Linked DNA regions of Oreochromis niloticus. The protein of the gene in region 1 interacts with the protein of each later gene in a pairwise test. Links are inferred from orthologs where the notes say so. Each region holds a gene or a part of one and is shown on either strand. Other genes may lie near its edges. The genes, in order: prkci, pard6gb and pard6b.

Evidence for each region.
Region 2: the proteins of prkci (region 1) and pard6gb interact in binary tests that used the Homo sapiens proteins (3 or more experiments, as listed by UniProt). The link is inferred for Oreochromis niloticus from reciprocal best matches to the Homo sapiens genes PRKCI and PARD6G.
Region 3: the proteins of prkci (region 1) and pard6b interact in binary tests that used the Homo sapiens proteins (3 or more experiments, as listed by UniProt). The link is inferred for Oreochromis niloticus from reciprocal best matches to the Homo sapiens genes PRKCI and PARD6B.

Annotation. Positions count from the first base shown.
Region 1 is NC_031982.2:22,788,937-22,796,171, reverse strand, and holds the start of prkci (protein kinase C iota type), read left to right. Parts: upstream 1-4,228; 5' UTR 4,229-4,493; coding exon 4,494-4,576; intron 4,577-7,235.
Region 2 is NC_031985.2:20,080,838-20,088,529, reverse strand, and holds the start of pard6gb (par-6 family cell polarity regulator gamma b), read left to right. Parts: upstream 1-4,648; 5' UTR 4,649-4,929; coding exon 4,930-5,001; intron 5,002-7,692. UniProt on the Homo sapiens protein: Adapter protein involved in asymmetrical cell division and cell polarization processes. May play a role in the formation of epithelial tight junctions. The PARD6-PARD3 complex links GTP-bound Rho small GTPases to atypical protein kinase C proteins.
Region 3 is NC_031984.2:31,749,404-31,757,019, reverse strand, and holds the start of pard6b (partitioning defective 6 homolog beta), read right to left. Parts: upstream 3,061-7,616; 5' UTR 2,702-3,060; coding exon 2,639-2,701; intron 1,335-2,638; coding exon 1,112-1,334; intron 1-1,111. UniProt on the Homo sapiens protein: Adapter protein involved in asymmetrical cell division and cell polarization processes. Probably involved in formation of epithelial tight junctions.

The DNA.
Region 1 (7,235 bases):
ATGTTTGCATAGCCCTTTTTAAAATGATGCTTTCATGACATTATTGTATGTTGGGTGGTGGTCAGGGCTATGCAGACTGACAAGTGGGACATTGAATGTCACCTCTCCGGTGGGGAGGGAGCCTGAGATCGTCTAAATTGGAGTCTGTTCTATACCGAATGCAGAAAAAAATGTTTTAAGAAAGCAATTAAGTTCATGTTCCAAAAAATATGATTGTTTGCTTGCAGGACAACAGGAGAGATGAGTCCTCCGTCACAGATGGTGTGAAGATGGTCGCCTGCAGGTTCAAGCTCATTGCATCTCCAACCCACATCCACTGCCACTGTACTTAAGGGAAGTTAAAGACTTTCTTCTGCACCTACATTGGATCACCTCGATCCATGACAGTCATTCAGGCAGTAATGCCTGGACTGGAAACAAGCATCCTTAAAATAATACAACATTCCAGCTCATGTGTTGGAATGGAAAACAAATGTGTTGTTTAAATCAGAGACTGCACTTGTGACAGAACAACAAATATTTTGTTTTGATTATATAAGTAATGTAAGTACAAAACAAACTTGTGGTAGACCTAAACTTATTTTCAGAATAATTACATCTGAGACTTTGTTTCATTGTAAGATTAAAACAGTGATGGCAATATAATTGTTTGTTGTTCAGCAGAACAGTGTCCATCACGTTGGCTGTTGTACTTTGTTGTGTTTGAAAATAAAAGTTGGGCTGATTTTTAACATCGTTACAAAAAGTGTTGTTAATTATTTTTAATCACATTCAGGTTACACAAATTGTTTTTTCATTTAGTTAAACTTGAAATGTTTGTCAGTAGGTAAACAAATAGTATTGTACAGTCAGAAATATCAAGTTATTCTTAATACTGCATACTTGCAATGTATAAGTTGTCCTAACAGTCATCTTAAGTAAGCTTTACTTAGTTTTTTTGAGGCAACGAGTTTCCATAATTTTTTTGAGTTCTGGGAACTAACAAGGCTGTACAGTGTACTCAAAATGAGTAAGTTGCCCTAACTTGGTCATCTTACGTAAACTTGATCCAATTTTTTTGAGTTCTGGGAACAAATGAGCTTGTACAGAGTACTCAAAGTAAATAAGTTGTCCTAACTTAGTCATTTTTAGCTAAGCTTTACTCAATTTTTTTGAGGCAACGAGTTTCCATAATTTTTTTGAGTTCTGGGAACTAATTAGATTTTACAGTGTTCCCACTGTCGCCAAGTGCTTACTAGGCGGTCGTCTGTCTTTTGGGGTCTTTATAGGGTCTTTAAAGCCCCTTGAGGCGACTGTTATTGTGAATTGGCGCTGAATAAAACGGAACTGAATTAAAAACAAATTGTGGAGTCCCATCATTCGTTTTCTTCAGTCCTGTCATCTTTGTCAAAGTAGTTTCATTTCCTGTAATGACTGACCCCCTCCCCAGGACCCAAACTGAATTAAATCATCCCAGGTGTTGTGCCAAAAAGTGATCGTCTGCCAAAAACTGATTTCCGGTATTTGCCAAAAACTGATTGCTTGTATTTAAACTGCTATAAATAACTTGTTGGTCTATAATATGTGAAACATATCAAATGTATCACTCATGAATGATATCAAGTCATCTTGAGCAACAAACAACATTCCTGTAACAAGGTAGAAGCCACAATCAGGTTTTGGCAGTGACTTTTCCTTTATTTTCGCAGTTAAAAAAAAAACTCTTGTTGACTTTAAAAATGTCTCTTTTAAGAGTAATCTGGCCAAGAGGACGGCTGAAATTGCAACAAATGCAACAATAGTTCTGTAAACATATTTTAAGTGGATAAAAGGGACCAGATTGATTATAATGTAAGTACAATAACACAGTTAAAGATACTTGAGAAACAGGTAATTTTTAAATTTTATATATAACCCCTTTGTAATACCCGTTCACCAAAAAAGTCTATTTAGCAACATACGTAATGATATTACACATAAAAAGCCCATGGAAACATTGGAAATCAGTTTTTGGCAGGCAATCACTTTTTGGCACAACCGAACAAGCTTTTCATCCCAGCAGCTATGAATTTTTAAGAAATCCCAAGTTCAGTTTCAAGGAGTTCGTGAAATAGTCCCGACCTCCAGTCTACATATGTAGGCCTACTGATGTGTACCCACGTGCGTGAAAGGAGCATACTACTAATAATGACACACACACTCGGAGGTTGGTGCAAATCTTTCTCACACAGAGACGTCACGGTTTTCCTCAAACTTTATCTGTATTTATTAAAGATTACTTTGTTATGGTTAGGATATTTAAAATAAAATCAAGTTCACTTTGTTACAAACAGAGGGTGGTTTGGGTTAAAATAAATATCCTTTTAAAGCTCCGTTTTACGCGGTTGCTATGCTTGCAGCTTGGGTGACGAGTCCCGTAATACTGTGTTGGGACGAGAGACGAAATTTACTTCCTATGGAAATACAATCAGGCCATTTAAACACGTAAAAATGTGATATTTTGCGTCAGAATAGAGTTTATTTTACTATGATTAGATTTGGTCTCATGCCGTGACCAAATCTCAAACTCAGTGAGAGACAAAAATGATGTGACACTTTATGCTGATTTCATGTAACCTTTCCAACTCCTTTGCTAACGAGATTAAAGAAAAGCTCAAGTTAGCTCTTATATTATAATCTTGTCACAGCCTACCGTCTCCTTTTTTGCTTTATCTGCATAAGATTTAAAGATTTTTATCTTCTGTTTTTGTCTTTTGTCTGAAAAAAAAGCATCCATCAGCTGGCACATGTTTTGAGCTACAGGCTACTTGTGAAGATCATGAATAACTGATGAATGATGCGAAACTGCAGGAGAGCCATGATTGCAGTCTTTGCTGCCAGAAAGCCAGGCTACAGAGACGAATCTGCTAACTTTTGAAAACGAGAATGAACCATGCCCTCCTTTACCACATCCACATCTGTGTGCTTCCTCGTTTCCTCCTGCCTGACAGCTCCACATATTCAGCATCCTTTATCCAATATATCCACTATGCTTCTGCACATCCACAAACCATCTCAGCCTTAGCTCTTTGACTTTGTCTCCAGACTGCTCGACCTGAGCCGTCCCTCTGATGTACTCCTTTCTAATCCTGTCACTCCCAGTGAAAAGCTTAAAATCTTAGTTTTTGCATCTTGTCCTTGTCAGTACTACAATCTTCAAACCAGACACCATAGCAGTTCTCACGTTCATCTTGCAAACCCTTCCTTCTGTCACAAATCAACCCTGACACTCGACGTTCCTCTGCTCTCCAGGGCATACCTCCACCTCTCCAAGCTCTCTTCCACCTGCTCCCTACTCTAACTACAGATCACAAACACATTTCACAGAAACTACCATCAACCTGTCATCAGCATCAGAAACAAGAAGGGGCTCCAACCTGATCCCTGATGTAGCTCCACCCTTGTCAGGCCTGATAGGCGAGCAAAACTAGTGAACTCAAAAGCAAAACCAAGACAGACCGTCCTAGACTTTTTTCATAAAGACTTATTTCACACAAAAAGGAATTCAGACAATAGAAGACTTTCACAGAACTCTGGGGGAATGCACAGGTCTGATGAGGCACAGGTGGTCCTACTGGTTGAGGAGCGAGAAATCCAGAACTCCGTCCCAGGAGGGTGGATTATTCCTGCCCAGCCCAACCCGGAGAGAGCGCATGAACCAATTGACGGATCTTGACAACCCTAACCTTGAAGTCATCTGTCACTCCTACTGCATACCTCATACATGCCCTTATAATTGTACCCAGTCTATTTGTAAATATAGTAAACATTTAAGTTGAATTGAAAGAATATTCTATATTTAAAAGAAGATAAAACACTTCACGTTATTTTACACCCCATCACAGCAGCTAACTCGTTTGTAAAATTTTATTTTATTGTATTTTTAGCACATGTTTTTGTCACAGGTCAATTTGGTTGTTCATTCCAAACCAATGCGCTTGAATGCGCAACATGTCTCGAGGGTCTTTCCTTTCCGAGCCTAAATGTTTGAACACGAATGCAGCACTTACCTGTATAAAAGGCTTGAGTTGGTACAGTCCAGTGATGCCAAAAGTTATATCTGACCTTTCGGAGTTTTTGACCGTATCCCACTGGTTTGTTATAATCGATAAATAATAAACCAATGTGAAATTGTGTGTTTTGTCTTTTAACAAAATACAATTCTAGTTGGAACGAATATACCAAGTTATGCGCGCCCCCTGTTACATTCCGATAATGGACTGGCCCGTGGTTAGGCCTTTGCAGTGGGGAGTTGTTTGGCGGACCCCGCAAGTTTTTCTATACTTTACCTGTTATTTTTGTTTGTCTAAAGAAGGGCAAATACTCAGCTTTTGGCATCACTTGATTCGTTATTCATTTGGTTTGTCGACGGACCGTAAAAATTAACAGTTTAGGGCGTGGTACCGGGCCAAAGTAGGAAGCAAGGTAGATAGGAAGGACGATATCGTTGAGTCGGACTGTCCACGGCTGAGCTTATGATGCCGACGTTGCGGGACGGCACCATGTCCCACCCCGGCGAGAATTCCCACCAAGTCCGGGTGAAAGCTTACTACAAAGGGTAAGAAATAACCATGTCTTTTAGTATTTAATATATCCAATTGGGAATAACTAGCACCAGTTGGAAAGACGGCTAATAAGCTGGCTAACACTAGCTCAGTCAGCTAACGGCTGGCTAATGTTGGGAACCACCGGGTTTCGGTAAACTTGGGCAGGCGGACAGGTGACACTGTCCAGGCACTCCGCCTGTCGAAAAGTCAGTCTCGGTGGTATCTGAGAAATTTTTCAGCTAGACAGCGAAGTTGTCATGTGGTTTAAATTAGTTAAATCTGTCTCAGCTCGAAAGCTTTGGAGCTAGTCTCTCAGCAGCGGGCTAACAGTTGCTATCTAAGTTGATAAGGATTTGGCGTCATGTTATTGATCGTCTTTACGTTTATTTTCTCCTATCTCTGGCAGCACAGCATGTCCTAAAATACCGCTGTTGTTTCACTTAGGGATGCACAATGTGATAGCAGGAAATCCTAACAATTGTTGAGCTTTCACAATAACTGAGGAGCTTTAAAAATCCAAATTAAGTAGTGATGTTCAAGCCTTTCCAGTTAGACAATGTAATGTAGACCTATTATTTTCAGCCTCTGTTATCCCGTACTTACGTGGTATTAGTTACAACAACGAAACCATGTACCACATTTATATGTAGATATGATGAGCTCATTATAAATGCTTGTTTCACTCATAGTAGTAAACTTAAGGAAAAAGTCATTAAATCTAAAGATTTGTTTTTTATTTTGTTTCAAAAAATATCAAGCTGTAATCAGGTTATAACTGTGTCACATACAGTAAAGGACATATGAGCTGGCAGTGGGAAATCTTTTGGTTTACAATTCAAAAACAGCAGCAACCATCATAATGTTTCTGACTAGTTTAGGAACAGTTTATCAACTTTTGTTGTTTACATTGTAGCCAGAACTGTAGCATATCAGAGTTTTGCCTGGCTCAAAAAAGGATAAAGAGACCGTGTTATTGAACTTTCCAGCATTTTCTTGCTATTTGTGGCCATTTGCTGAACAAAAATCAATTTTAAGCTTAGAGCAAAGATGCTGTTTGAAGGTATTATCAAAGTTTCGGTGATTTTCCTTTGTGGAATGTCAGAACCTCTCTGGTAGGTGCCAACATGTTTTCTATAGAGGAAAATCCCCCGATAACCTAATATTTACATAAAGGAAAGCCTAAGCCAAGTCATTTAGCAAACAGACTTCAGCACAAGACCTGAACAATACACATCTCTGTATTTTCCATTGATGTATGACATATCCAGGTGGACGGCATTGTCTTTGAGTTTCTGTCATGCTAAATAAGCATTTAGTTTCACAGTTGTTTGTCATGATAGAAATAATTGATTACTCAGTTGTTTCTTTGCCTCTGTTTGATGGAGTCAAGAGATTGGAGACCAGCCAAGACTTGAAAAACGTGTAGTGCAAGTCACTTCAGCCATACCCGTGTGACACACCTCAGTACCTCTGTGATGTGTGTTGATTATTGGGTGGCATCTCGCAGAGCGAGGCATGTGAAATATTTCTGACGCGACGGCTGAGGAATCTCAACTATGCTGCCAAAGAGAGATTGCAGTGTAATGGTCTCATGATTCTGCTATCGGGATGCATTAAGCCAGGATGTCATCTGAGTTGTTTTCTTTCGCTGCAGAAGTTAGGACTGAAAGATGTTTAAGTTGGTAATGCACCAAATCAATAAAGTAGATTAGGCAGTAGTGTCATGTCGAAGCTGTTTACTGACTGTTTTTATAAGACCACAACAACACATCTTTATACACCTTATTGTATAAATGGCTTCACTAAAACTGAGTATGTGGTTAAACTTCAGAATTAAAACAGTTCATTGTTTGATCAGTTAACAGACTGCCATAAAAATTTTTTATATTACTGTTATTACAGTATAATTAAAGTTAGTCTATCGAGTGCTTTTCAACAACAAAAGTCAAAAAGTGCTTTACAGTATAAAATAGGATACAACAATTAAAGTGGTACACTTAGATGAAATAATAAAGGCAATACTGCACAGCTGGATGTTTAGCTTCTTTTTAAACAGTGTCCACAGATCTCAAGTCCAAGTTTAAGTCTGTCGGAGGGTGGTGTGCTGTCACAGGATCACAGCAAGAACGTTCGGGATTCGAACATGCCGGCCATCTGGGGTCTTTGTGTGTAGGATCTCTGGATATTCTGGTTTCTTTCACAGTCCAAAGATGGGCTTGTTAGGTGATTCTAAATTGGCTGTAGGTGTATTAGCCCTGTGATGACCTGGTCACCTGTCCAAGGTGTACTCTTTCTTTTGCCCCATGAAAGCTGGGATAGGTTCTGCAAACCTAAATTGCATAGGCAGTGAAGAAAAATGACAATGAAGAAAAGACGTTTTTAATAAAAAACTCACTGCAGTTAAAAGATGTACCTAAAACATTGTGTCCATGCGGCCTGTGTTAAACCCGTTAGGAAAAAAAACAAAAAACAAATCATACTGGCTGTATAGGGAACAGTATCTTATAAATAAGCTGAAATAGGGCATTAAATCTTTTGTTTGAGTCTCTTGTTAAGCAAGCATCATCGCACGGTGTGACATATCGGCATTCAGAACAGCAATATTTCCTGTGACAAAAGACCAGAGATGGGGAATGGAGCTTTGTGTAGAGCATAACATTTCAACATTTT
Region 2 (7,692 bases), on another chromosome or scaffold:
TGCTATAAAACCAGCATTCAATGTATTTTTGTCAGAGGAAGACATATGCTGATGTTTCCTCTCCGGTGTTAATAAACTCATCGTTTGATTGCACTTGTCTGGTGCCTCCGTCGTTTGTTGTTCTGGTCTCCAATTGATTGATCTCGCACGATAGTAACGTGCAGCTCATCTTATCCATTCAATCCAGTCTGTCCTAGTTTGTTTTTTTGTTCACTAAAAAGAAGAATATGCAATTAAATCAACCATAAACACAATTAAGATTGAATATTTCACTGTCACCATTACAGCCACTTGCTTATTGTACCAAAAATCTGGTTAACATACAGGACTGTACAAAAGCCTTGAACCACCTTTTTGTTTTTTCTTTCTATTTTGCTTCCAAAACATTCCAAGCCACTTATCACTGACATGAATCAGTGAGATGAACTGCGTTCTGTTAATCAGTGGCAACAGGTCTTACGGAATAATTAATCCAAATTTTATATTTTTGATTCAAATCATTGTCATTATGTATCAAGGACGTCAGGAGAGAGGTCTGCAACCATCTCTAAAACATGGTGGAGGCTCTGTCATCATTTGGTGCTGCATTTCAAGTGTCTGGTTGGTAACAGTTTCATTTTTCAGCATGACAATGATCCAAAACACACTGCCAATGCCATAAAAACACACCTGGATAGAAAAACACACAATACAACACTATCAACCATGGATTGGCCTCCCCAGAGCTCAACATTATTGAAGCAGTGTGGGATCATCTTGACAAGAGACATAACAGATGACACCCAAAATCCAAAGAAGAACTTTGAATGTCCTTCAAGAAGCCTGGATAACTATTCCTGGAGATTTATTAAAGAAATTACTAGAAAGCCTGTCAAAAAAAGTTCAGGCTGTGGTGAAGAATAAAGTTGGGAATACCAAATATTGACTTCCAAGCTTGTTAGAATACAAAGTCTGTTTTCCACTTATACACTATATTTCCATGTACACTTGTTTAAATAAATCACGGCACATATTTCCTATTTTTCCAGCAAAATATCAAGAAATAAGGGGTGGCTCGGGGCCTCTGGACACTGCTGTTTGTTGGTATATAGACTCATCTCACTGCTGATCAGTCCCAAAGCAGTGGCAGACCCCCTTGTCGTGTTTTGAGATAACTATAATAGATTTAGACTCATTCTGAATAGAGTATTGGATGGCTTTGCTCAGCCAACATCCTAGTTGGTTTTGTCTGTATCGAGCTGATTGATTACTTGTGTGTAGTCAGCGCCTTTGATGTGGTTTTATTTTATTTTTATTCACGTCCAGAGTAAATTTATATGTTTGCCTTGTAATCCTCATTGATCATGAAAGCCTTATAACTTCCATTTCAAAGAACATACTAGTGATTGAAGCTTCTTTATGAGTTATGGCTTTGTTTTGTTTCCTTGATGACAAATACAGTATTCTTGTAAAATCATTGAAGATGTGAGATGAAAATCTATGTTTTAAAAAAACCCATTCATTCTCTTTGATGTTGCATAAAGTTTTATATTTAAAAGAAAGTCTGGATGTTGCCCCACCATCTACAGAAAAAGAAAAATCATGTAAATGGCTTTGCTGCAAGATAGCTGATTAAAGTAGATGTGCATCCCCCTTTGTCTCTTTCTCTCCTAATTGATTGCCTGGCTTTTGAGACAAGAAGAAAATAAATATCTTCAAGCCAAGATACTTTAGTTGCACAGAAAACTAAAAGGGGGTTCCCCTGCCAACGCCAATACACTATACTGCAGTTTTAAAGAGGCAATGTGGGCCAACACTAAAATTTAGTGAGATCTTCCTTTGCCCATGCTCCACTACTGCTCAATGAAGTTTCATGACATTTACTTTTTGTGTAATGTTGATGACAAACAGAAAAACTGAAAACCTACCTTCACTGACAGCATCCACAATAGTTCGTGGCAAGACAACATCCCTAAACCTTCAGACCGTGTCATTTTTACTCGTGTTAGATCGTTCTTCCAAGCGCCCTGCAGCAGATCAGCAACCTGACCAAGATGTGCTCTGCTTTTTTCCCTAGGACACCAGCGGTTGCATGCCGGAGCAGCAGGTTGAGTGTCGTGGATGACAACAGACTCAATAAATTGATCCGTAAGACCAGTAGCATTGTAGGGATGGAGCTGGACTCAAGGTGGTGTCAGAGAGGTGGTTGTTGTCCAAGATAGATACAATACTGGACAATAAACTCTCATCGACTCCATGATGTGTTGGTCAGTCACAGGAGCGCGTTACCCAAATGCACCACTGAATGACACAGGAAGTCATTTCTTCCTATGGCCATCACTCTGTACAACTCCTCCATCTACACAAGTACACACTGCAATAGTTGCACACCCTTAATATCACATCCTCTACAAAGAAAAGTTACAATTAATATAACAAAAGGGGCACCTCAGTGTCACCCATATATATGTAATTTCGTGTAATATACAGGGATATTTATGATTAGAGCTATTTGTATTTATTAGAGCGATTTTGTTATATTCTGTAATATATTGTATTATTCTATTTAGTTTAGTTAGTTCCTATTGGATCAACTGTGACCACATAATTTCCTCTGAGGTTATTAAAGTATTCTGATTCAGATGCTAATTATGGAAATGGATGGACGTTCTTCCAAGTTTTGGCAACCAGGGAACATTGGAATTAATTCTTCTGATTGACACACAACAAAAACATCTATCCATCTTTCCTTATGGTAGGTTTATGGCAATCACCTGTGATGATTCAGGCCCAGATGGTGAAAAATGTAAAAGATTTAACTTTATGTAGAGGAAGGTCAGTATTTTTCCACCATAATTCAGTTAAAACATATGCAGATTTTTGAATTTACTAAAGCACACTGACTAAGTCACGCTGTAACTGTTGCACTGTTAAAGTCATTAAAACAATACCACACATCGGCCGTTAGTGGGCGCAATAAGCTTAACTACTCGTTTTCTTAACGCTAGTTATATAGAGCACCACCTCATTCACCTTACAATATTTCATTAATTATTAACTACCAGCAAATATGACGAGCATCAGATGTTGCAGAAACACACAAAAATCACCGTCTCTTCTTTTTCATGCTAATAAGTCCTAACTTGATTGCGGGCACCCATCAGATGTAGTTCTGACTACAGTTGATAAACATTTACACACTAAATCTACTACAGCGTAACTATCCCTGCATGCAGTCACATAAGGAGCACTGCAGTGTCTGTGCTGCAGGATCGCAGTGAAACCTGGGTTTGGGTTCTGTTTGTAAGCAGTCAACACATTCCTGAAGAGAGTAAACCAGCAGCACTTTCAGCTACTGAGAGGGTGTGTGTGTGTGTGTGTGTGTGTGTGTGTGTGTGTGTGTGTGTGTGTGGACGGGGGGGCATGCAGCCTGCAGCTGTTGTGCACAGCCAGCTTCAGGGGCCCAGGAATGCTGTCAAGCAGGATTGCGGTCATGGATGCTAATTAACCCAGCTGAAAATGAATATTCCCGATCAGCTGGTTCTTACGCTGTGAGGTTTTTGGTTCAGGTTGAATGGCTCTGGATGCCTATACCTCACAAAGGAGGGGGTGTGAGATTATCACGTTCCAGGGCCAATTAGAGATGTTTACCTGGTGCACTTTGAAGCTCTCTGCTGACAGAAGAATAGCTTCCTCTTGGCCACCCAAGTTGGGTGGCAGGTCTTGTTACAAATCCTGTGTAACCTGGATAAAAAGATGGTTTTATGGTCTGTAAAAGATCACAAAAATAAGACTTAATGGTATCATAGGCCACATTTAACTCCATATTATGAAGACAATGTAAAAATACAAGTAAATCTTCACCTGTTATGTATCTGAAAAGTTGAGCAGGCTACAGCAGATGGTTAAATATAAAGATATGTGGCTGTTTTCTTCACACTATGGTGTTTTTATGTGTTTGAGTTCCCAGTGGCTCACGCTTCACCTTCACTTACAGAGGTAATGATTGTAAACTGAACTCTTAAACCCAATTTATGTTGTTGTTGGGGGATTTTTTTATATTAAAAGATATATGTTCCACACCACAGGGTTTGTAGGCTTACACCACCTTGTTGGGATCAATGAATTCAATCATTTAAATACAGACCGTTTTTAAAAATGCTTAGAAAATCGCGTCCTCTGGTGTCTCGGAGGTCCAGCGTGCGCAGTGCTGCCTTCACAGATCCTGGAAATACACCAACTAACCGGAAAGACCACTCTTTTTTTTTTTACTCTGAATATATTAGGCTATAAATTGGACAGGGCGGGGTTAGAGGAAGTCTGCCTACTTTTGAGATTTAAAAAAAATATATATTTTAGTTTAATTATTTTTGCTTCATTTTTGCTTCATATGCATCAAAAGACGACTAAACACGGCTGATTTAATATGATCATTTTATTAACAGGACATAATACATATCAAGTTGTCATTGTTATAAATATTTGTGTGTGTTTTGTTTGTTTGTTTTGCGATAGCATACATTCTTAAACCTTAATCCATCATCAGTAGTAGCTGTTATTTACTCAGCCTTTACTGACTACAGTAAGGATACAAAGAGATCCCGCCTGAGGGAGTTGGGGATTTCGTGCGGTACGTGAATGCATCCCAGAATCCCGTTTTTTTTAAGAGGGCTGATGTCATTTTCAAAACTTAACTCACACTCCTCAAGTCAACGCGGCGAGTCGCACACCTCCTGCTCTCTCGTGAAGTCCTCCCTCATGTCTGTCGGAGCGCACTGAGAAAAGAAAAAAGAAGTCGGGGAGGTGAAAGAAACACCAAGTTCTGTGGAAGAAGCGAACAGGGAGAATTTTTTAGAGCAGAAAGCCCGGGACCAGAGCCCCTCTCTCTGTGGGCAAAGGCGGCTGAACTTTTTTTTTTCTTTTTTTTTTTTTCCTTCAAACGGGAAAAAAATGAATCGGAGCTTTAATAAGTCGCAACCTCTGCGAAATCCTAACTGCAACGCTGTGGAAGTGAAAAGCAAGGTGAGTGGAAACTTGAAAGCCCTGCTTGGTGGTGGCGTTGGTGGATAGGATTCGGGGGGATTAAAATAATAATAATAATGATAAATGTTCACATGGCTGTCCCGTCACGGAGCCGGAGTTGGTCGGACGGTGTGCAGCCTACGCCACATAACTATTTCCGCTTTTTTCCCCGTGAGTTGTGCGGGGAAAGTTACAGGTTCTGGATGTTTCTCTCATTTGCAGTGATTGTTTGCTTCTTACTTCCGATCCAGATTGTGCTGATTTGACTTTTTCTATCCCGATGCTGCTGTGGGTGGTTGATGGAGGGGGGCTGGGTAGGTGGGTAACGGGGTTGTTTTTGAAGCACCTAGTTCTCCAGATTTCCTACAGCAACAAAGTTTCCACCTGTTAAAATCAGACGTTGCATTAGTTGCACTGAGTTTTTGTCTTGCTACACAGTATCAGCCTAGCTCTTTGTTTTGGATCATTTTTTTAAACGCTGACAGACTAATGGACACACAAACATCAAGTGGATTGCCAAGATTTCAAGTGTTATGTCTCAATGGAGTGCCCTGATTTATGAAGCTTTTCATCTCAACACGTACACAATACATCCACATGAGCTATGCGGTTCTTATTTAAGTTTATACTGTAGAGGAAGAGTTTTATTTTTGTTTTGTTTTTTTATTACACAAGTGACAGTTTGTGTGGGCTCTGTGAAGAACTACCAGCTGACACTCATCACTTGTGAACCCCACAATGATTGCTGGTGACCTGCATTCTAATCCAGTGTTTCTGATTTATTTATTTGTGAGTATTCGCATGTGTTCACACCTGAGGGTTAAAGGGAGAGATGGGCAAGTGGTGCAAAAGGTGACTCATTCACTCCTGAGTTGTTTCCACCTTTTGGCCGCCCAGTTTCAGTGGGGTGGTGGACAGATGGAGCACAGATGCTCTGATGGTGACAGGTGGGTGAGCATGTACTTACACAGAAACGGCCAAAAAAGGGGAGTAGTGTTTGTGTGTGTGTAGGTGGGTTTTTTGTTCTTTTTGTTGTTTTGCCTTTTTTTTGCTGCAGGGTTTGTTCCACAGAGACAGGAGTGGTCACTCCGTGGCTGCCGCAGATTGTTTGTGGGTGGGACTGGCACGCCAGGAGCTCTGTGGCTAGAACAGACAGGTCCACGGCGTCACCACGGCACACCGTCATGCCACGACGTCACACGTTTCCACTTTTGGATCAGATGTGACTCATCCCTCTCCGTCACGTCACTTTAAGCAGTTTCACATTTTGTTCTACTTCGTCAGGTTGTGTTTTGTTTTGATCCGTTTGGGGTGTGTTGGGAGCTCTAACACCCTTCCCTCATGTTCCCTCATGTTCCCTCATCTCCCTCAGTGAAGAAATTAAGCGTGTTGATGAAAGAAAGCTGATGATTTGGAGAGAAAGTGACTGTTGTGGGTCTTTTAAAGCACACTGACAGTTGAGGACATTTGAATACCTGTAAAGGGAAATCTTATCTGTTACATAGCTCTGCCACAGTCTGGGCCTCTGAAGGCACAGAGGAGCAGGATCAGCTACACGTAATTCAGTTCATCATTTAGTAGTAAATAAAGATACGATATCCTCACAATACTTTGGTCGCATTACAATATTATTGCAGTTTTAAACATTTTGCAATGTTCTGAGTGTTGCAGTAATATGTAATGCAATCTATCATCATTTTCAAACTGCAGATTATGTCCTCAAAGTTAAACTTTGTCAGTGTTTGTTTTATCCAATAAGATAAAGTTATCTTGCTCTTTCTTTCCTGTAGAATGAGATTTTCCTGACTGCCAACACTGGCACTAAAAGCGTGCTGTAAATGTAACCTAATACTTTACTTTAATGAGTAACAGTAGTTAAATTTTTAAGTAATACACAGAATATGAAATGAAATAAAAGTTATAAAACATAAACAAGACCCATTGATGAGGTTTGGGACTCATAAATTGTGTAACACTCAACAAGACTTACCTTCTCATGTAAACGCGAACAAAACAAAAAAATACACACTAAAATTTATACAGGCTTCCTGCCTTCTCATTAGATACAGATATGTTTCCATAACAATAAAGAAACAAGAAATATCCAAAGCCAAACGACTTATTTACAGACTCGAATCATCCTCGCATTCACATTTGTTTTGTTTTTATATAGTTGTGTAAACTTGTGCCGTGACAAACAGGTTTTCATTTCCTCTACGTAGTTACTGTAAAGTTGTAATAGTTACTGTTGGTTCCTACAGCCACTTTATTAAACATGGAGTTCTCTCTCAGTACGTGGAGTTTTTGTATGACTCGAAACTACCTCTGATAGGAGAAAGATGCCGGTTCAATTGCAGACGGAGACGCAAATCGCTTCTTTGGTTGCAACAGGAGGGAAAAAAAAAAAATCTCCCAAGTCAAACGCATGCAACTGGTCGCTGCGGTGACCTTTTTGTGATTAAGGAAGCCCCCAAAAGTAGCTTTTGAGTGTCTTTGGGCGCAGTTGAACATTTGAGCAGGCATTTTTGTTATGTGATTACTTTCTTTAAACCAAAAAAAATGTCTAAATAATTTGTTAAGCAGAAGCAAACATGGCCTTTAGGTGCACTCCCTTTTTAATAATCGTATGCCAAATAACCAGGGGTGCACATAAGTGGTCAGCATGTGCACATTTGCTGTCAAAATAAAAGA
Region 3 (7,616 bases), on another chromosome or scaffold:
TGATTAGGAATACACTCCAAAATCAAAGGAGAGGTTAAACCTTTGTACGTATACTCTGACAGAAACATGTTTATGTAATCACTATGGATACACTGATTGTGAAATTATAGGCCAACAGCAGCATTTTGTTTCCAAATCTACTTCTTTCCCTTTTGTTGTGCTTATACCTCATTTACTCCATGATAACAAAAAAAAAAAAAGAAAGAAACAACTGACCCCATTTAAAGTCTTTCAGCTTTTTGTAACACAATCTTTGAACACTCAGCTCGTGTGAAATCTTGAAGACAGAACATATTAATGTTGACCACTGACATCAGTAAATGCCATGTTAATTGGCAATATGCCAATATCAGACACCAAGGCTGGTATAGTAAGACCTGCAGTAATCATACACATGAAATAAAGGTAAGCCATACTTGTGAGCATGAATTTAGAGCAGCCACAACTTATTCCTTTATTAGCTAAAGATTAAAAACTTATCTACAAGGGGAACTGCAAAAGCACAGCAATTATGGCAGGAACATTGGTAATGATTACACCAGAGCCAGCAAAGGAAGTTAGAAACTGCAGCAGCAGTGTTTACAGAAACACTGTTCGACAGCAGCACTGTCAAACTTGAAACCCGTATTTCCAAAACAGTCAGACACGTAAAAAAACAACTCCCATGCAGCTACCGAGCTGCAATACAAAACAGCCTACTGGACAAACTCAAAGTGAACTCCATTAGTCTACTCTTGTTGTTTTGCTCAGCTCTTATAGTGAACTCCTCATTTCAAGTGCATTCTTCCTCTCAACAAGCCCCCTAACCTTAGCTTAGTTAACTAGAAATCAATAAGGAAAAAAAATAGAGGCCAGTGGTTTAGCATTTACCATTTAGTTTGTTTCGCTGAACATGGCAACATACAACAAGTAGCCTAAAAACTTACAATGTAAAGTGACACTTAAGTATTTATAACTCTGTCACAGCTATAGTCAATAGCCTATCACATATTTCTAAGCTGTGCTTTTCAATGCTAATGACTGTATTTGCATTTCCAATGCAAAGCAGATGTAACCAAGCAAACAAATGAAAACTTGGGACTCTTTGTCCAAACACTTCCTCTGTGCATACCTTTCCTCTGGAGGAACAGCCTGAGTAGAGGGTTAGCTGTGGAGATGGCCTTGTGGTAATTGTCGTCATTGTTGATGGGCAGCAGGTCACCGTGCACGTCAGCATAGCCCACCAACAGCTCCACGTTGGGGATGCGATGCACATGCTGCAGGAGACCGTAGAACTCGTCGAAGCGGCCTGGCTTGGACCGATCCAGAGAGAACCGACGAAACTCTGCACCAAACTGGGATGGGGCAGAAAGGCGTTCACATGTGATTGCAAATGAACACACAAATACACACAGAGGTGTGACGTATGGCCGAAACCAGGGTATGAAACAGTGCTTGATAAGCCTACTTTGTACTGATGCGTAAGCCAAAGCACACCACGTGTGGTAAATTATTCACGTGTTTTGTGTATCTCTAGGCTTGCAGATTAAAGCTTTTATCAAGCTACCACACAGCGTATTTATCATGCAGCTATTAGAAAGACAGTGTGCTTTCAGCATATGTACAATCACCACAAACGTGTTGCTGGTTTACCCATTTAAGCCCGTGGGCTGACTGGATCAATGGCTGCAGATGCCTAATCTTTAGGCAGCTCTGTAGTTGAGACAGAGCACAATGCCTCATTGGTAGTGCTAGTGAGAGGTACCGGCTGTTGTGGTTACTGTTGCTCAGCACTGACAAAAGATGATCTCCCAGCTTAATCAGTTATTTTATGCATCAATGCAAAGCAGAGTTAATTTAATAAGTGGTTGGGGACATAAGGAAGATAATCTTAACTCAGAAGAGTCAAAAAACTTAAAAATCCCGGGATAGCTGATTAAATAATAATAATAGCTATAGTAACTAATCTAGGTAAAGTATGAGGAAGGCAAAAAATGAGTGTTGCAGCTGAAAATATTTGACAGCTTGTGTCAACGCGTCCAAAAACGTCTAGAACAATATAGTCATTATTCATTACACTTATGTGTGGTCATGCCTCAGCAGGGCGCGGATGGAGCCACGAGCCTGACGCAGGCCGTGTGACACCTGTAACCGCAGGCAAATAACACGACAGGCAACGACTGACACCTTTAACCGACGTAATTTGACATAAACTTTTGTTAATTTGAGCAAACTTTCCACGCAGATTAAATTAAGTTAAAGAGTTGACTCAAACTTGAAGTCAGTACTCGGTAAACGAGTAGGAGAGTACGGCGGAGAAGGCTGTGACAGGTGACACTGGCTCACTGCGCAGTCAGCTGACAAAAACCCTCCACCTTGCCACAAACTAGCTAGCCTTTAGACGTAAAACGACCAAAAAACTACGCCACGGTTACCAATAAAGTTTTAAGAATTGTAACCAAACACCCGGGTGGTCACAGTGAAAAACAAAACAAAAAAACCGTTAGCTCCTCTTAAAGTTTATAAGCCTTGCTTCATAATAACCCGCTATCAAGCCACTTTAGCAGGCTAAATTAGCAAGAGTGGATTTAATGAGGACGAAGGTTGTCGGGAGTACAAACACTGGAAGGATACCTGACAAATAAGTGTCCGTACCCACCTTGCTCTTCACCTCCACTGCATTCAGAGAACGGCTGCTCGGCACTCGGTGGTTTTTGTTCATGTTTCTCTAGCAGCGGGACCGCCGCCAAAGCACTCACACTCTCTCCCTGCTCCTGCCGCCGCTGCCAATGTCTATCCACAAACCCCGTGTGTCCACCAGTTGTTTTTAATGTTTTAGTTGTGGGGTGTTTCAGTCGCACAGACTACACCGCGACTTCTTGACGTCCGCCGGTATGAGTGGTCCCTCCACAGAATGCGACAGAGGCTGTCAATCAGCCAGCTTCAGCTCGTAAACTTGTCTCCTCTCATACTTGCCGCTGACACCGTAGCTACAGCCCCACAGCGTACCGTCTCTGGCTTACCTCTGCCTGCGACTCTCTCTCCCTGCCCGTACCCGGAGAGCCGGAGATACGGGACTTCAAAATAAAAGGCGTGGCATTTATAATACTCTGTGGCTTCAAAATAAGAGCCAGCTTCCACCTCACCAGCATTAGCCCACTCTGTCCTGGCACGGTGTGGCAACCATGCTCCAAATAGCTCGAACAATAATGAACAGTAATGCCTCATTTTTTGTTTTTAATGTCATTCATAAAAAAAAAAAAAACTATTTTAAGTGTGTGTGTGTGTGTGGGGGGGTGTTTGCCATCATGTTAACTGAAGCACTGATGCACTTAGAGTTGTACTTTCTCACTCTAATAACGTAATGATGACCATATCTCTAAAAACCCTAAATTAAAATCGTTTGCATTAACTATTTAAACAGTTATACTGTACCCAGTAAAAACTAATAGTGTAACAGAGATTTTATGATAGTTGAATGAAGTGTTACCTGCGTATGTAGAATTCATATGGGTACAAAAAATAAACTGTAGTTCCTGCTCTGGCTACATCTTGTGAGTGTTTTAATTTTATAGTGACATCTTATGGCCAAAACCAATATATACCTGCTGCAGCTGCTGGCTACCTGCCCGGTAAATGCAGATACTTAACCCTTTCAAACTCGATGCCTTCATGGTGACCCAGACCAAGAATTCCATCATAATAAATGTCTACAAGGTTTTGTTGTTGTAGACATATTAATTTACAATGTATAAACAGCCCATCTGACGTTATTAAATGGCTTATTGATGCGTAATTATTGTTTCCAAGACAAGGCATCGCGTAGTTTTTACATTTTACAACATTCATCTTTGGAGAAGGGCATCTCTCACACAATGCCATGTCCTTTTTTTTACATAAGACATAAAAACATGTTAGAAATAATTATTTAATTATATTTAATTGAAAGTGAAACTGGCATTCTGGAACTTTGGAATTTATTGTATAAACAGATAAAGAACTTTTTTAGCTGAATACAGCAAAAGGAATCTTAGCAGGGTTATTATCAGTGAGTGAAAACGACTAAAATATTCCTTTAAAGTTACTTTACAGAGTAACATTTTGACTATGAATAAAATCCTAAAATCCTTCTCTCTTTAAAAAAAAACCAAACAAACAAAAAAGCAACAACTTTAGAAGTCAGATTTAGTTGGTCAAATAACAAGAAAAATGCATCCCTCTGCACCGTCACTTTGACATTTTATATGAAAATCGAGATGTATTTGTTGAGTAAATAAAACATAACGCTAAAATTCCATTGATCAAAATTTCAGCTAAAAGCACTCACTTTAGTTCAGAAAATGAAAAAAATTGATAAGTTGCACAGTTGTACTAAGCATGTAACAAACTCACAGCTCGACGTTTGTTCACATATTACTTGTAGACACTAGAGGGAGACAGAGACTGCGAAGGGAGATGCATGTCCTTGTTTTAAAAACTACAAATGTCTCGATTTGAAGATGAAATATACACATATTTGACTGAGCGCAGAAAGCAGCAATGATTTATCTTCCTCTGAAAGACACAAAACACAACAGTTTTTTTTTTCAAAGCTTATACGTGTGTAGAAAATAGTCGGAGTTCCTCCTTCTGTATAATATCCTGCTTCATGCAGGCAAAGGATTCTTCACATGACTGGAAAACAGAAGGCAGACACAGGGTAGCTTATGTTGATACAGTCATGTGCTTTTCATTACAGATGGTGTTCCACTAAAACAACAAAAAAATCAAAATCAAAATTATTGAAACATGGGTTTTCTTCTTTTGCACATTTGTAACCTCATTAGACCCATCATAGGTTTAACCATATACATATTCCCACACAAGTGAGAGCAGCTACCTAAGTTTTACTCTCACACTGTCTGTATATCTTGTTAGTAGTGCTGCAGCCTCATTTTGCCTTAATTCTTTGTGTCTTTGTTTCAAAAAGGTCCAGAAACATTCCTCAGAGATGTTGGTCCACATTGAACTGAGCACATCCCAGAGGTGCTCTATTGGACTGGGAACTGGTGACAGGCGAGGCCATTTGAGTACAGTGACCTCACTGCCAGGTTCAACAAGCCAGTTTGATATAATTGAAACTTTGTAATGTGGAGCATTATCCTTTTGGAACCAGTCATCAGAAGATGGGTACACTGTGGCCATGAAGGGATGGTCATCAAAAACATTCAGGGAGGCTGTGGTATTTAAATAATGCTCAGCTGGAGCTAAGGGGCCTAAAGTGCACCAAGAAAACCCCCCACACACGATTACATCACTACAGTCAGCAGACTGAACCACTGATCCACAGCAGAATGGATCCATGCTTTCATGTCATTTACACAACATTTGTGATCCTACCATCTGAACTTTTCACCAGAAATCATGGTTCATAGACCAGATAATGTTTTTTTGTTTTGTTTTTTTTTTACAATGAAAACGTGCAAACTGTATCCTCCATTACCTGTTCTTAGCTGACATGAGTTTGTGGTCTTCTGCTGCAATAGTCCATCCAGGTCCAATGTGTTGTGCATTCATAGATGCTCTTCTGCAAACCTTGGTTGTAGCAAGTGGTTATATTTAAGTTCCTATCTCCTTCCTACCACCTTGAAACAGTGCTGTGCTGTGTCTTGGGTCTCAAAGAGACCATTTAGGTTATTTAAATGTATTCTTAGCCACTGAGTCACACTGCATTACTGAAATACTGTGTGACTACATGTGTTCTGATGACCTGGTTTGACCTCTGATGTTTTAGCACACAAAAGATTGAAAACAGGATGAAGCCATAAGCAGGTTACGAGGCTAATAACAGTCCTGTGTGTTTCCTTCTTGTAGAGGGTCTGTCTGTGTAACAAGAAGATGTGATAGAGGATGATGGAAGTGAAAAGAGAGAGAGGAGATAATGGAGGTTACCCTGAGGGTGGTGAGAAGAATGAGGAGAGTAAAGTAATTGTAGACTTCAATTTGATGACAAATGTGGAGAGAAGTCTGCTCACTTCTGAGCATATTGTAGATGTCACAGTCCCTGGGTTTCTTGGACTTTGAGAATCAAACATTGAACATCTAAAATAAGGGATTTTTTTTTAAACTGTTTATTCCTTGATTTTTATTTATGCAGAGCTTTTATGTGTTAGTTCCAGTTTGCATTTTCCCCTCATTGTTCCCTGACTCACCCTCCTGTCAGTTCCCCCTAAGTTTTGTCATGTATCCGTATAACCCTGTTTTATTTGATAGTTGCTTGACTTTAGTGTTTTGTGTTTAATTTGACTTCCTGCCTCCTGTCTTATTGTCTATGATTATTTTCACCTGTGTCCTGCTACCCTCCAGCTCCAGTTCCCTGATTACACTTTCATAAGTTTTGCACATACACTCTAAAAATTAATTCAGAGGCTTAGTAAATATCACTATAAATATAAGTTAGATGAACCTGATAAAATCTATGAATATCCTTTTAGTAATTATTTGAGTTTCATAAGTTGAAATAAACGTCTAAAATGTTAACGTATGTGTTTGTGTTAAATTAAGGTATTTATTTACATTTATCTCAGACAAAAAATTCAGTATGTGGTTCATGGAATACCTTCTTTGCATGTACTTAATATTTTTGTTTAAAATTGAATCAAAATATTTGAGAAATAGGTATCTATACTCATCAGTATCTTGTACTAAAATCATTAATTATTCAAATCAATATTATTTATTGTCAGCAACTACAACTGAAAAGTGTAAGTAAAACACGATAACGTAGAGTAATTGAGTACCATGAGCCTTTTTCATTGTTTTGTTCATTTTGTCTGTGAAGGTTCTCAGTCATCCAGGTCATCGTAAAGGAATTTGCAAAGAAAAGCGTCTGGACTTCTTTGAGTTGCTTGAAGACGTTTCACCTCTCATCCGAGAAGCTTCTTCAGTTCTAAGGTCAAATGGCCGAGAGTCCCAGATTTAAACCCAGTGGGAGTATCCCCCCAAGGAGGGACAAAGGACCCCCTGGTGATCCTCTAATCACATGAGCCAAGGTGTGAAAGCGGGTGTGGTACCTAATCAGCCAGGGTTTCGGGTGAGCTCATTGTGAAACCTGGCCCCACCTTGTCATGTGAATTCCTGAGGTCAGATAGCCCAGGATGTGAGTGGGCGTTGCCAGGATGCCAATGTTCACATTTTGGACAGAGAGGACAGATGGTTTGAAAGAGGAGTGAAAGAGGCCATCTATGTCCACTGTGAGCGACCATCTTTGAACAGAGGCGGTGGTTTACGACACCAACTGTCTGCCATCTATAATCCAGTTTTGAGTTCCCTCCCCAGACGCCTTAACGTGCACTCACATCCTGGGCCATCTGACCTCAGGAATTCACATGACAAGGTGGGGCCAGGTTTCACAATGAGCTCACCTGAAACCCTGGCTGATTAGGTACCACACCCGCTTTCACACCTTGGCTCATGTGATTAGAGGATCACCAGGGGGTCCTTTGTCCCTCCTTGGGGGGATACTCCCACTGGGTTTAAATCTGGGACTCTCCACCATTTGACCTTAGAACTGAAGAAGCTTCTCGGATGAGAGGTGAAACGTCTTCAAGCAACTCAAAGAAGTCCAGACGCTTTTCTTTGCAAATTCCTTTGACTTT